3 linked regions of the Macaca fascicularis genome follow. The protein of the gene in region 1 purifies or fractionates together with the protein of each later gene. This does not show direct contact. Links are inferred from orthologs where the notes say so. Each region holds a gene or a part of one and is shown in the gene's direction. Other genes may lie near its edges.

Region 1 (3,651 bases):
TTTATTTGGCTTAGCAATTTAATTTTTTTAATGTTTCTTTTTAGCCTTTGCGACTTGATATCAAAAGAAAGCTAACTGCTAGATCTGATCGAGTTAAGAGTGTGGATTTGCATCCTACAGAGCCATGGATGTTGGCAAGTCTTTACAATGGCAGTGTATGTGTTTGGAATCATGAAACACAGGTAGGAATTTTTCAGGACTTTATTAGAAATAAAATACTATGTTAGACTGTGTTTATAATGAAAGAGAAGAAATACTGTAACAGAATCCAGAAGCTATATGTAAACCGCTTTCTCAAGTTGGTACGAAGTATTTTAAATATGAAGGAACTAACATTTATGAGGGGATAGTTTGTAGGAGAAACTGTCCTGGGTATGTTATATATAATATTTAAATATGACAACTCTGACTTAGGTAGTATTAGCTCATTTTTGAAATTGAGAAAACTGATGGTATTATAGGATCACTCGCTAAAGTATTTAATTGTTAATTTTCCATTCAGTGAATATTCTATCTTAAGAATGATATTTTTAAATTTATTTTTCTCCCAAATGCCCAATGTAATGATATGCAGATAAATCTTTCACTCAGCTATATAGATTATATCAGGGAAATATTTATAGTCAGCTTTTGGTTATACATGCATCTTACAGATTCTCTGCCTAAATGCTTGACTCCTCTTTCACCTGAGTAAATAACATATCCTTCAAATTAGTTTATCTCATATTTTCTAGTCTTCCTAGACTGTATTTAAGAGTACAAAGCTTATAGTTAGCACTATGCCATACAGTTGTGTCTACTTATATAGTAATTATCCTTAATGTCCAAAGTTAAGTTCTTGAAATCCAGGTGAGATTCACATTTGAGGAATTTAAAATGGCAGAATAGGATCAAGGAACCAAAGCCAGAAGTAAACCTAAAAACAACTTTACACTTTTATACTCACTGTAATGAAACAGAAATGACTGTACACTAAACTTTTACCCTGTATTAGTCTGTTCTCACACTGCTGTAAAGAACTACCTGAGACTGGGTAATTTATGAAGGAAAGAGGCTTAATTGACTCACAGTTCCACAGGCTTAACAGGAAGCATGACTGGGAGGCCTCAGGAAACTTAAAATCTTGGCAGCAGGTGAAGGGGAAGCAAGCACCTTCTTCACATGATGGCAGGAGAGAGAGAGCGAAGTGGGAAGTGCCACACACTTTTAAACCATCAGATCTCATGAGAAGTCACTATCACGAGAACATCAAGGGGGAAATCCATCCCCACCTTCAATCACCTCCAATCCACCCCCATAATCCAATCACCTCCCACCAGGGCCTTCCTCCAATTCAACATGAGATTTGGGTGGGGATACAAATCCAAACCATACCATAGTCCATCAGTGACATTTTATGCAAATTAACATTTTGTTTTCTGCTGTATCTCAGTGCCTGTAACATTACCTGGCACATAGTAAGTGCTCAATAATTATTTGTTCAATAAATTAATAATATGCATTTCACTTATCACTAGTTCAGTATTTCTGTTCTCTACAACTTCAGATCTTTATCTTGTGAATTCTTTTTGCTTTGATGCAAATAACTGCTTTTTTTTTCCTTTTTGTTTAGTTCTTGAGATGTTTAAAGTATTTCTGATTTTATGTTTAACAGATATGTTGGTGTCCTCTCTCTCTGATTATTCCTAGGGATTCCCTCTTATCAACTACATTTACCTATCTCTCAGCTCTGTCACTTGATCATCTTATATTCTAAAGCCCAGGCGTACTTTTCTTATCTTTCTCTAGGCTTTATTGTAATATATCTTTGCTTTATCTGCATTTCCGCTTTGCCTCCTTTTTTTCTTCTGTACCTTTTTCTGCCCTATGACAGGACCATCTGCTTCCCCTTTCATAATTCATCTCATTGGTAATTTCGTGCTTAATTTCCTTCTTTCCTCCAAGAATGGAGGTTCTATGAGGACAAGGATTACCCTCATCTTATTTCCCACTGTTGGTCCAGTGCATGAGGCACTACCTGATACACTGTCAGGCTCCTAGTAGATAGTAAGTCTTTGTTGAATGATTGATCTGTCTTTGGTTCTCCCTGTTTTTTCCCTGTGTTTATATCACCAACAGTATTTACCACTCCTGTGTTGAGAGCAAATTCTTGAGAGAGCCAAAAAGGTTTTTGGAAGTAAAAAGGGTTTTAAATGCACTTGAATTTCAAATAAGGAGATACTATATATTCTTTGAGGTGGTACATGCAGTGGTTTAAAAAACATAGTATTTTAGGATTTGAAGCCAACTTGCTGATTAAATTATATAGGTTAGCCTTTTAACTATGCTGACCCTCTTTATTTATCTAAAGTAAAGATGATATTATTGCCTTCCCTATGTCACAGGATTGTCAAAAAGATAAAATTAGATAAAATTGTATATGAAACCTAAGTACCATATAAGTATTAGTCATTAGTTATACTTTCCTAATCTACATTGAACATTTGTATGTATCGCATGTGTAGCTTTTCTTACTCTTCATTTGCATCAGTCATAGCCCCTAACATGGCGCTGAGCCTTGGCTATTTGCTCTGCAGCTGCTTTATTTTTACTGCTTAGATCCCTGAGTTTGTTGGCTCCTCATGAGCTTTTGTGGATTTTTCTGCTGCATTACAGATTGCATGTTCTGTCTACTCTCAGTGTCTGTATTTTAGTCAGCTGGTAGTGATTCTGCAGGTTGGAGTTGAAGTGCCTACTCATTCAGCCTTTGTCTAAAGAATCTTTGAACTCTGGCTTGAAAAATCAGAGTGGGACAGTTCTTATGAACCGGTCCCTATTACTTTTTTAGTGCACATGGTTAATCAAGCAGTAAGATTATATTGGTTTCTTAGTTATTTCTTTTTTGCTCTCTGATACAAAAAAGGATTGGAAAATGATAGTTTGGCTTTCAGACTTTTAAGAACAGGCATCAAAGAAGGAGAACATAGAGGTATACCATTATCTCTGCTTTTTCTAGGAGGGTCTTCTAGTTTTCTACCTTTATCCTGTGTGTATAATTCCATTCTGAGTAGCTCAGAGGAAAATACAGGTCACTGTGTTTTCATTTAAAAAAAAAAATAAATAATAACATTTGTATGGAATCATATTGCTAAAGCATGCAAAAGAATTGTACCTTATTCATGAGTCACTTTTATGGGTTTCAATTTCAAAAAAACTGACTAGGTGTGGTGGCTCACGCCTGTAACCCCAGCACTTGGGAGGCTGAGACAGGTGGATCACTTGAGGCCAGGAGGTCGAAACCACCCTGGCCAACATGGTGAAACCCTGTCTGTACGAAAAATACAAAAATTTGCTTGGCATGGTGGCGCATACCTGTAATCCCAGCTACTTGGGTAACTGAAGCATAAGAATCACTTGAACCTGGGAGGCGATGGTTGCAGTGAGCCAAGATTGTGCCACTGTATTGCACTTCAGCCTGGGTGACAGAGTGAGACTGTCTCAAAAAAAAAGAAAAAAAGAAAAACTAAGAGCTAATTCATTCAACAAATACTTATTACACACTAATTTAGTGTGCCAGCCACTGTTCTAGCTTCTGTCTATACAGTGTGAAAAATATTCCTGCCTTTGGAGAGCTTGGCAGGAAAGATTCGCACAAACATAATTATGAGGTGC
Region 2 (3,651 bases), about 110 Mb from region 1:
GTGGTCTTCAAATATCAGTATATATTGGAATAATCTGAGGAAACATATTATAAATGCAAATTCCTTGATCCTGAAACCAGAGATTCTGATGTAGTAGATTTGGGATGGAATCTGAGTTTTTAGCAAGCTCTACCGCCAACCCCTAGTAATTCTGATACAGGTGATCCATGGTCATAGTGCGAGGAATCCTGCCATAGAATAGGTGCAAGAGTGGTAGCTGTAGCCATTATAGGTGGACACCATGTGCACACATCTACCAGATGCCTCATTCACTTGGGTTATTCCCTTTAGTCTGCAAGGAATGCCAGGACCAGCCAGGGTGGGGTCCCATGGGCCTGTGCTTAAATCCAGTGCTTGAACCTGGCCATAGGGTGTAGGCATAGGTCTTAACCAGACACAGACCATTCTAAGTTGGGTTTTCTGCAACGCTCTCATTCCGAAACATCTCTTTATTGGCCATTTGTCTTAACTGACAAATATATAGGACCAGTTTGTTACTTTGTCTGATTTTGTAGCTATAGTAGTATCGATCTTATTTTCCTAATTGATCTTATTTTCCTAATTGTCACCTTCTTTTAAGAATCCTTGCTGAGCTAGGGGGTGGAAATCCTTGCTAAGCTTCTAAAACCGGGGGAATCTCCAATTAGGTCTAGGATTTTGTGGTCTCATATCAGTGTTTTGCTTCTGAGGTCTTTCATGGTACAGAGATGGGGAGAGTATTTGTTGGGGGTTGTATCACATGAGCAAAGTCAGGGAGATGAGAAAATGCATGGATATATTCAGGAAATAATGAGTAGCCAGGTGGGTAAACATATTTATCCATCTAAGGTAGGTGGAACACCTTGCGAATGGTCATGGGAATTTATTAGAAACCATCACAAGTTGGTCTGGGGATTTAGAAGCTGAGTGAATGTGGCCTGTGGATTTCAGAGCAGTTGGCGGCGGTGCCAGAGTTCCGGGGACTTGGGCCCCTCTTCAAGTCCTCGCCTGAGCCCGTGGCCCTCACTGAGTCAGAGACGGAGTATGTCATCCGCTGCACCAAACACACCTTCACCAACCACATGGTTTTTCAGGTGAGCAAGGTGGGCTGAGGCCCTGCTGGGGCATGCGCCCAGGGAGTTGTCCCAGGTCTGGCAGGTCCTGTAGGGACATGGGTCCCCACACTGTGTTGGTTGGGAGCCCAACTTGATGACAGAATCTGTCCCCAACATGCCTGTCTCACATATCTGTTGACCCAGGGCCTCCATGGCTCCTGATTATCAGCATGGAGACAGGGAGCCTGGGGCAGGGGGACTGGGATGGGAATCACCTTGGTCAACAGGAAAGAGGTGGGACCTCCTGGCTCTTCCTCTGCAGCATGGCTCAGACCTAGAGCAATGTTTAAGCTCCCCTCTCTTCCCTGTTCAGTTTGACTGCACAAACACACTCAATGACCAGACCTTGGAGAATGTCACAGTGCAGATGGAGCCCACTGAGGCCTATGAGGTGCTCTGTTATGTGCCTGCCCGGAGCCTGCCCTACAACCAGCCTGGGACCTGCTACACACTGGTGGCACTGCCCAAAGAAGACCCCACAGCTGGTGAGACCCTCTCCAGATACCACCCTATCCTTATGGGAGCTCATGGGATCAGGAGGTGGGCGACTGGGCACTAGTTGTTTGCCTTTTATTAGAGCTTCAGCTCCTTGATTTCAGTCCCAAGAAGAATAGCTGAGTCCCAAATGCTCTTCTTTAAAAAATTTTTTTAAAGAGACAGGATCTCACTAGAACTCATGACTTGACTTTCCTGTCCTACAAGGTGGCGCCCTCTGTCCAGCTTTGTAGGATTGTATGGCTTGTTGCTGCTACTAATAACATAGCAGGGGCCTAGAAAGCAGGCTGTGACCCCTGCCTGCTTGTTCCCTGCAGGAGGAGCCCGTCCCCTGCAGTCTGGGGACTTCCTAACTACCCAGTCTCTCTTCCCCACAGTGGCCTGCACATTCAGCTGCATGATGAAGTTCACTGTCAAGGACTGTGATCCCACCACTGGGGAGACCGATGACGAAGGCTATGAGGATGAGTATGTGGTAAGAGCCTGGTGTCAGGAAGCTCAGTTTTGTGCTGAGGCTGCAAAGCAACTCCCTTCAGAAACTGACAGACAGACTGGAGCTGTTTTTGACTTTTTAGCTCTTTAAAATTTTATTTTATTATTTTATTTTTTGAGATGAAGTTTCTCTCTTGTTACCCAGGCTGGAGTGCAATGGCACGATCTCGGCTCACTGCAACCTCTGCCTCCCAAGTCCAAGTGATTCTTTTTTTTTTTTTTTTTTTTTTTTTTGAGACGGAGTCTCGCTCTGTCGCCCAGGCTGGAGTGCAGTGGCCTGATCTCAGCTCACTGCAAGCTCCGCCTCCCGGGTTCACGCCATTCTCCTGCCTCAGCCTCCCGAGTAGCTGGGACCACAGGCGCCCGCCAGCTCGCCCGGCTAGTTTTTTGTATTTTTTAGTAGTGACGGGGTTTCACTGTGTTAGCCAGGATGGTCTCGATCTCCTGACCTTGTGATCCACCCGTCTCGGCCTCCCAAAGTGCTGGGATTACAGGCTTGAGCCACCGCGCCCGGCCCCAAGTGATTCTTTTGCCTCAGCCTCCCGAGTAGCTGGTATTACAGGCGCCCGCCACCATGCCTGCCTAATTTTTTGTATTTTTAGTAGAGACAGGGTTTCACCATGTTGGCTAGGCTGGTTTCGAACTCCTCGCCTCAGGTGATACACCTACCTTGGCCTCCCAAAGTGTTGGGATTACAGGCGTGAGCCACTGCGCCTGGCCTAAAATAACTTTTTAAACTTATGGAAATACATGTTCATGTGTAAAAAGAAAACTTGGGAAATACAAAAACAAAATACAAAACAAAAGTATGAACAACAGGAAAACATTACTCATAATCTTCAGAGTTACTTTTGGGGGGCAGTGGTATAATTGGAATCATTCTTATAATGTAGACCTTGCTATTTTAAAACCATAGTGTATTTTCCAGTGTCATTACAAATACTTCATAAACACAATTTTTTTAGTGGATTTAAAATACTGTTATATACTATGTCAAAACTTGATTGACCTTTCACTCCTTGAATGTTGGGCATTTGGGTTTCCATATTTTCACTATTTATAATGCTGCACTAAATATCCCTTTAGATACAAATTTTTATCTGCATTTTAGATTATTTCTTTAGGATAGATTCCTAGAAGGAGAATAATTGGGTCAAAGGGTAAGCATGATTTTAAGACATTTTGATTCCTTTTGTCAAATGCTTTCTGGATACATTTGACCTGTTTGCCGTGCTGGGCAGTCCTTTCATGCACTGGAATAGCCCTTCTAAATTCTCCTATCTTAGCTCGATGGAACTAAGTACAGGATCCTTCTGGGGTCTGACCTTGGGGCAGTGGCTCAGGGCCTTCTGAGTGCAGACCACTACGCTCAGCCTGTGGATGGGGATTGTTAGAACTCCTCCTGACTAGAGGGACAGTCATGGTGGAATACAGCTGACATTCACCATTGTGTCATCCTAGAGTCACAGTTGAGGATGGATGGACCTTCCTTAAGCTGGAAATGACCCTGAGGCAGGAGCTGCTTTAAGACCAAGTGAGCTCCTTGAGAGAGCTGGGTCTGTTTGAGCCC
Region 3 (3,751 bases), on another chromosome or scaffold:
CCCTGCCCTAAGAGGAGTCAGGGATCAGGAAACCAAGAGATAGGGGAAAGCCAAGCTTCATCAAAACCATTCCCTATTGTGAAATCGTTGCATTCAGTAAACTTCTCTTTTCTCATTTTGCAACGGCTCGTTTCTTTCCTTTTCTTTTTCTTTCTTTTTTTTTTTTTTTTTTTTGAGATGGAGTTTTGCTCTTGTTGCCCAGGCTGGAGTGCAATGACGTGATCTTGGCTCACCGCAACCTCGGCCTCCTGGGTTCAAGAGAGTTTCCTGGCTCAGCCTCCCGAGTAGCTGGGATTATAGGCATGCTCTACCACGCCCGGCTAATTTTGTATTTTTTTTTTTTTAGTAGATACGGGGTTTCTCCATGTTGGTCAGGTTGGTCTCGAACTCCCGACCTCCGATGATTTGCTCACCTCGGCCTCCCAAAGTGCTGAGATTACAGGCTTGAGCCACCGCGCCCAGCCACAACGGCTTGTTTCTATTGGAAAACCCCAGACCTTACTCCCTATAACCCTCCCTTATTCTAATCCCTTTCCCCGTTTGTCCCCCCAACTCCATCTCCAAAGACGATTGAGCCAAAGTTAGCTTTTACAAACTCTGACTTCTCATGTTCCTCAGGCCCAGCAAAGCCTGGAACTCCACCTTAGGGAGATTGTTACTGCGACTATCATCTTCTGGCAGTCTTGGTTTATGTAGTTAACATGTTGGGCCTTTCTTGGCTCTACTCTATGGTTGTGCAGACTTTCTGTGAGGATGCTAAAGTGACCCGAGCGAGCCTGAGGGAAGGGCTAGCCACAGAGATCATGGACCTAGGGGGCGCTGAAAATAGGGATTATTAGGGGAGGATCCCTGTTAGGAAGCGTCAGCGTTAAAGGCTAAGGAGACACAGCGCCCCCTAAAGAGAGTGCGGTTTAAAATCGCTAAATCAGGCCGACAATATCACGTGTCCCTGGCCCTACCAATTGAAAATTAACAATCGCTTCCTCCGTTCCCCATGGAAACAACCCCGCCCCACCGACCCTCCCGCCCTAATAAGTCGTGAGGTTTTGGCGTTTTATTGAGTATTCAAACTGACAATCAAACACCTGTGCCTTCTGGTTGGATACTCTGCTTCCGGTAAGCAAGTTAGTACAATAATTGGTCAACAGAGCAAGTCTTACCCAATGATCCTTATCCTAGGCAGGGCCTAATGGGGACGTATGGCCAATCAGCGGTGGCGTTACTTTTGCGGCTCCACGTCGGCACCAGCTGCGGGGCAAGATGGAAGCGCTGATTTTGGTAGGAGCTGGAGGGGCAGCAGAGATGCTGTGCTGTCCACAGGGGCCGGGAGTCAGGGTGCAGCCCGAGTGGGAGACGGGGAAGGAGAGTTCCGGGTAATTCTTGGGGACTGACGGTTCTGCCGACCCTTGGAATAAGTGTGTGGCCTAGTGTAGGAGCTAAAGCCTTGGTTTAGAGTAGGAAGCCCTGCCGGGGAGAGGGCATAGAGTCGATGGAAAGTTAAAGGTAGCACATGGACTCCTTAGGATACACAGACCTGTAAGCGTACTGGATTAGGACTCTTCAGGTTTCCCCTTATTTTTAGCATTGTGGATGATATCCTGATTTTAATTTACCAAAACCACCAAACTAGCCCCATATTATGAGAAAAGAATACAGATGTTTTGTCGTTACAGGCTCCTCCTGGTGGTTTCCCAAGTTTGACTCTCCATTGCTGATTCCCTGCCACATTCTTTCAGGAAACTGTTTTCTCTTGGGTTTCCTATTAATCCCTATTAAATAGGTTTATCATGATAAAGAATCAGTGTTTCATCAAAGTTCTGGGATACCTGATAAAGTTAGCATGGATTGTGGAATATTTTTTCCAGACTCCTTATTCTGTTCTCCTTTTCTCTACCCATTGGACCTTAGGAATTCTTTTTTTTTTTTTTTTTGAGACCGAGCCTTGCTCTGTCGCCTACGCTGGAGTGCACACGTGGCACGATCTTGGCTCACTGCAATCTCCGCCTCCCGGGTTCGAGCTATTCTCCTGCCTCAGTCTCTTGAATAGTTGGGACTATAGGCGCGTGCCACCATGCCCGGCTAATTTTTTTTTGTATTTTTAGTAGAGACGTGGTTTTACCATGTTGGCCAGGCTGGTTTCGAACTCCTGACCTCAAGTGATCCGCCGGCCTCGGCCTTCCAAAGTGCTGGGATTACAGGCGTGAGCCATCGCGCCTGGCCAGGAATTATTTTATTTTATTTATTTATTTATTTATGAGACGGAGCCTCGCTCTGTCGCCTAGCCTGGAGTGCAGTGGCGCGATCTCGGCTCATTGCAATCGCCGCCTCCCTGGTTCACGCCATTCTCCTGCCTCAGCTTCCCGAGTAGCTGGGACTACAGGCGCCTGCCACCATGCCTGGCTAATTTTTTGTATTTTTCTTTTTTTTTTTTTTTGAGACGGAGTCTCGCTCTGTCGCCCAGGCTGGAGCGCAGTGGCCGGATCTCAGCTCACTGCAAGCTCCGCCTCCCGGGTTTACGCCATTCTCCTGCCTCAGCCTCCCGAGTAGCTGGGACTACAGGCTCCCACCACCTCGCCCGGCTAGTTTTTTGTATTTTTTTTTAGTAGAGATGGGGTTTCACCGTGTTAGCCAGGATGGTCTCGATCTCTTGACCCCGTGATCCGCCCGTCTCGGCCTCCCAAAGTGCTGGGATTACAGGCGTGAGCCACCGCGCCTGGCCAGGGATTCTCATTGTATGATCTAGGATGCTAATTTCTCCCTTTCTGGTTACATGAGAATTGTGGTCGCTACAAGGAGTGTATTAGCCCTCTTGTCCATATGATGCTTTATGCTTGTTCTAACAAATAAAATACCTGTTACCCCTTATTTAGAACTGAACCAGATAATTTCTCTCAAAAGTGCCCTATTTTGCGATTTGGAGGGGTGTGTGTGTGTGTATGTGTGTGTGTGTGTAGGTAGGTAGGTAGGTAGTTAATGTAGGAATTTAACTCCCAGCCTCCTTCGTTAATTGGCTCGAACTCCAGGCCTCTTTCCAAAGAAGCTTGTCTTTTATTTTCCTTTAGATCTCCTATGCATACATATTCAGATCCTCGTCAGATAAAAGAATAACAGTTTTTAATTCCTCTCTTTCAGCATGTTAAAGACAGATAATTCCGACCATCCTGGCTAACACGGTGAAACCCCGTCTCTACTAAAAAATACAAAAAACTAGCCGGGCGAGGTGGCGGGCGCCTGTGGTCCCAGCTACTCCGGAAGCTGAGGCAGGAGAATGGCGTAAACCCGGGAGGCGGAGCTTGCAGTGAGCTGAGATCCGGCCACTGCACTCCAGCCTGGGCCACAGAGCCAGACTCAGTCTCAAAAAAAAAAAAAAAAAAGAGACAGATAATTCCTTATGTCAGTTGGTCAAATATAGGTAAAAAGCTTAAAATCTGAGTAGTTTTAAATATTTTCTGTACCAGGCAGTTAACAAATATTCTTTTTTTTTTTTTGAGATAGAGTCTGGCTGTGTTACTCAGGCTGGAGTGCAGTGGTACTATCTTGGCTCACTGCAACCTCCGTCTCCCAGAATCAAGCAATTCTCGTGCTTCAGCCTCCCGCGTAGCTGGAATTACAGGCACGTGCCACCATGCCCAGCTAATTTTTGTATTTTCAGTAGAGACGGTTTCACCATGTTTGCCAGGCTGGTCTGGTCTTGAACTCCTGACCTCAAGTGATCTGCTGCCTTGGCCTCCCAAAGTGCTGGGATTACAGG

What was found.
Region 2: the proteins of COPB2 (region 1) and COPG1 purify together in Homo sapiens (co-immunoprecipitation; 8 studies listed by BioGRID and IntAct, counting the BioPlex papers as one, with this or other methods). This does not show direct contact. The link is inferred for Macaca fascicularis from reciprocal best matches to the Homo sapiens genes COPB2 and COPG1.
Region 3: the proteins of COPB2 (region 1) and COPZ1 fractionate together in Homo sapiens (co-fractionation; 6 studies listed by BioGRID and IntAct, with this or other methods). This does not show direct contact. The link is inferred for Macaca fascicularis from reciprocal best matches to the Homo sapiens genes COPB2 and COPZ1.

What each region holds. Positions count from the first base shown.
Region 1 is NC_088376.1:42,216,524-42,220,174, reverse strand, and holds part of COPB2 (coatomer subunit beta'), read left to right. Parts: intron 1-44; coding exon 45-182; intron 183-3,651. UniProt on the Homo sapiens protein: The coatomer is a cytosolic protein complex that binds to dilysine motifs and reversibly associates with Golgi non-clathrin-coated vesicles, which further mediate biosynthetic protein transport from the ER, via the Golgi up to the trans Golgi network.
Region 2 is NC_088376.1:154,151,398-154,155,048, reverse strand, and holds part of COPG1 (coatomer subunit gamma-1), read left to right. Parts: intron 1-930; coding exon 931-1,073; intron 1,074-1,407; coding exon 1,408-1,579; intron 1,580-1,966; coding exon 1,967-2,064; intron 2,065-3,651. UniProt on the Homo sapiens protein: The coatomer is a cytosolic protein complex that binds to dilysine motifs and reversibly associates with Golgi non-clathrin-coated vesicles, which further mediate biosynthetic protein transport from the ER, via the Golgi up to the trans Golgi network.
Region 3 is NC_088385.1:61,173,354-61,177,104, forward strand, and holds the start of COPZ1 (coatomer subunit zeta-1), read left to right. Parts: upstream 1-1,181; 5' UTR 1,182-1,199; coding exon 1,200-1,373; intron 1,374-3,751. UniProt on the Homo sapiens protein: The coatomer is a cytosolic protein complex that binds to dilysine motifs and reversibly associates with Golgi non-clathrin-coated vesicles, which further mediate biosynthetic protein transport from the ER, via the Golgi up to the trans Golgi network.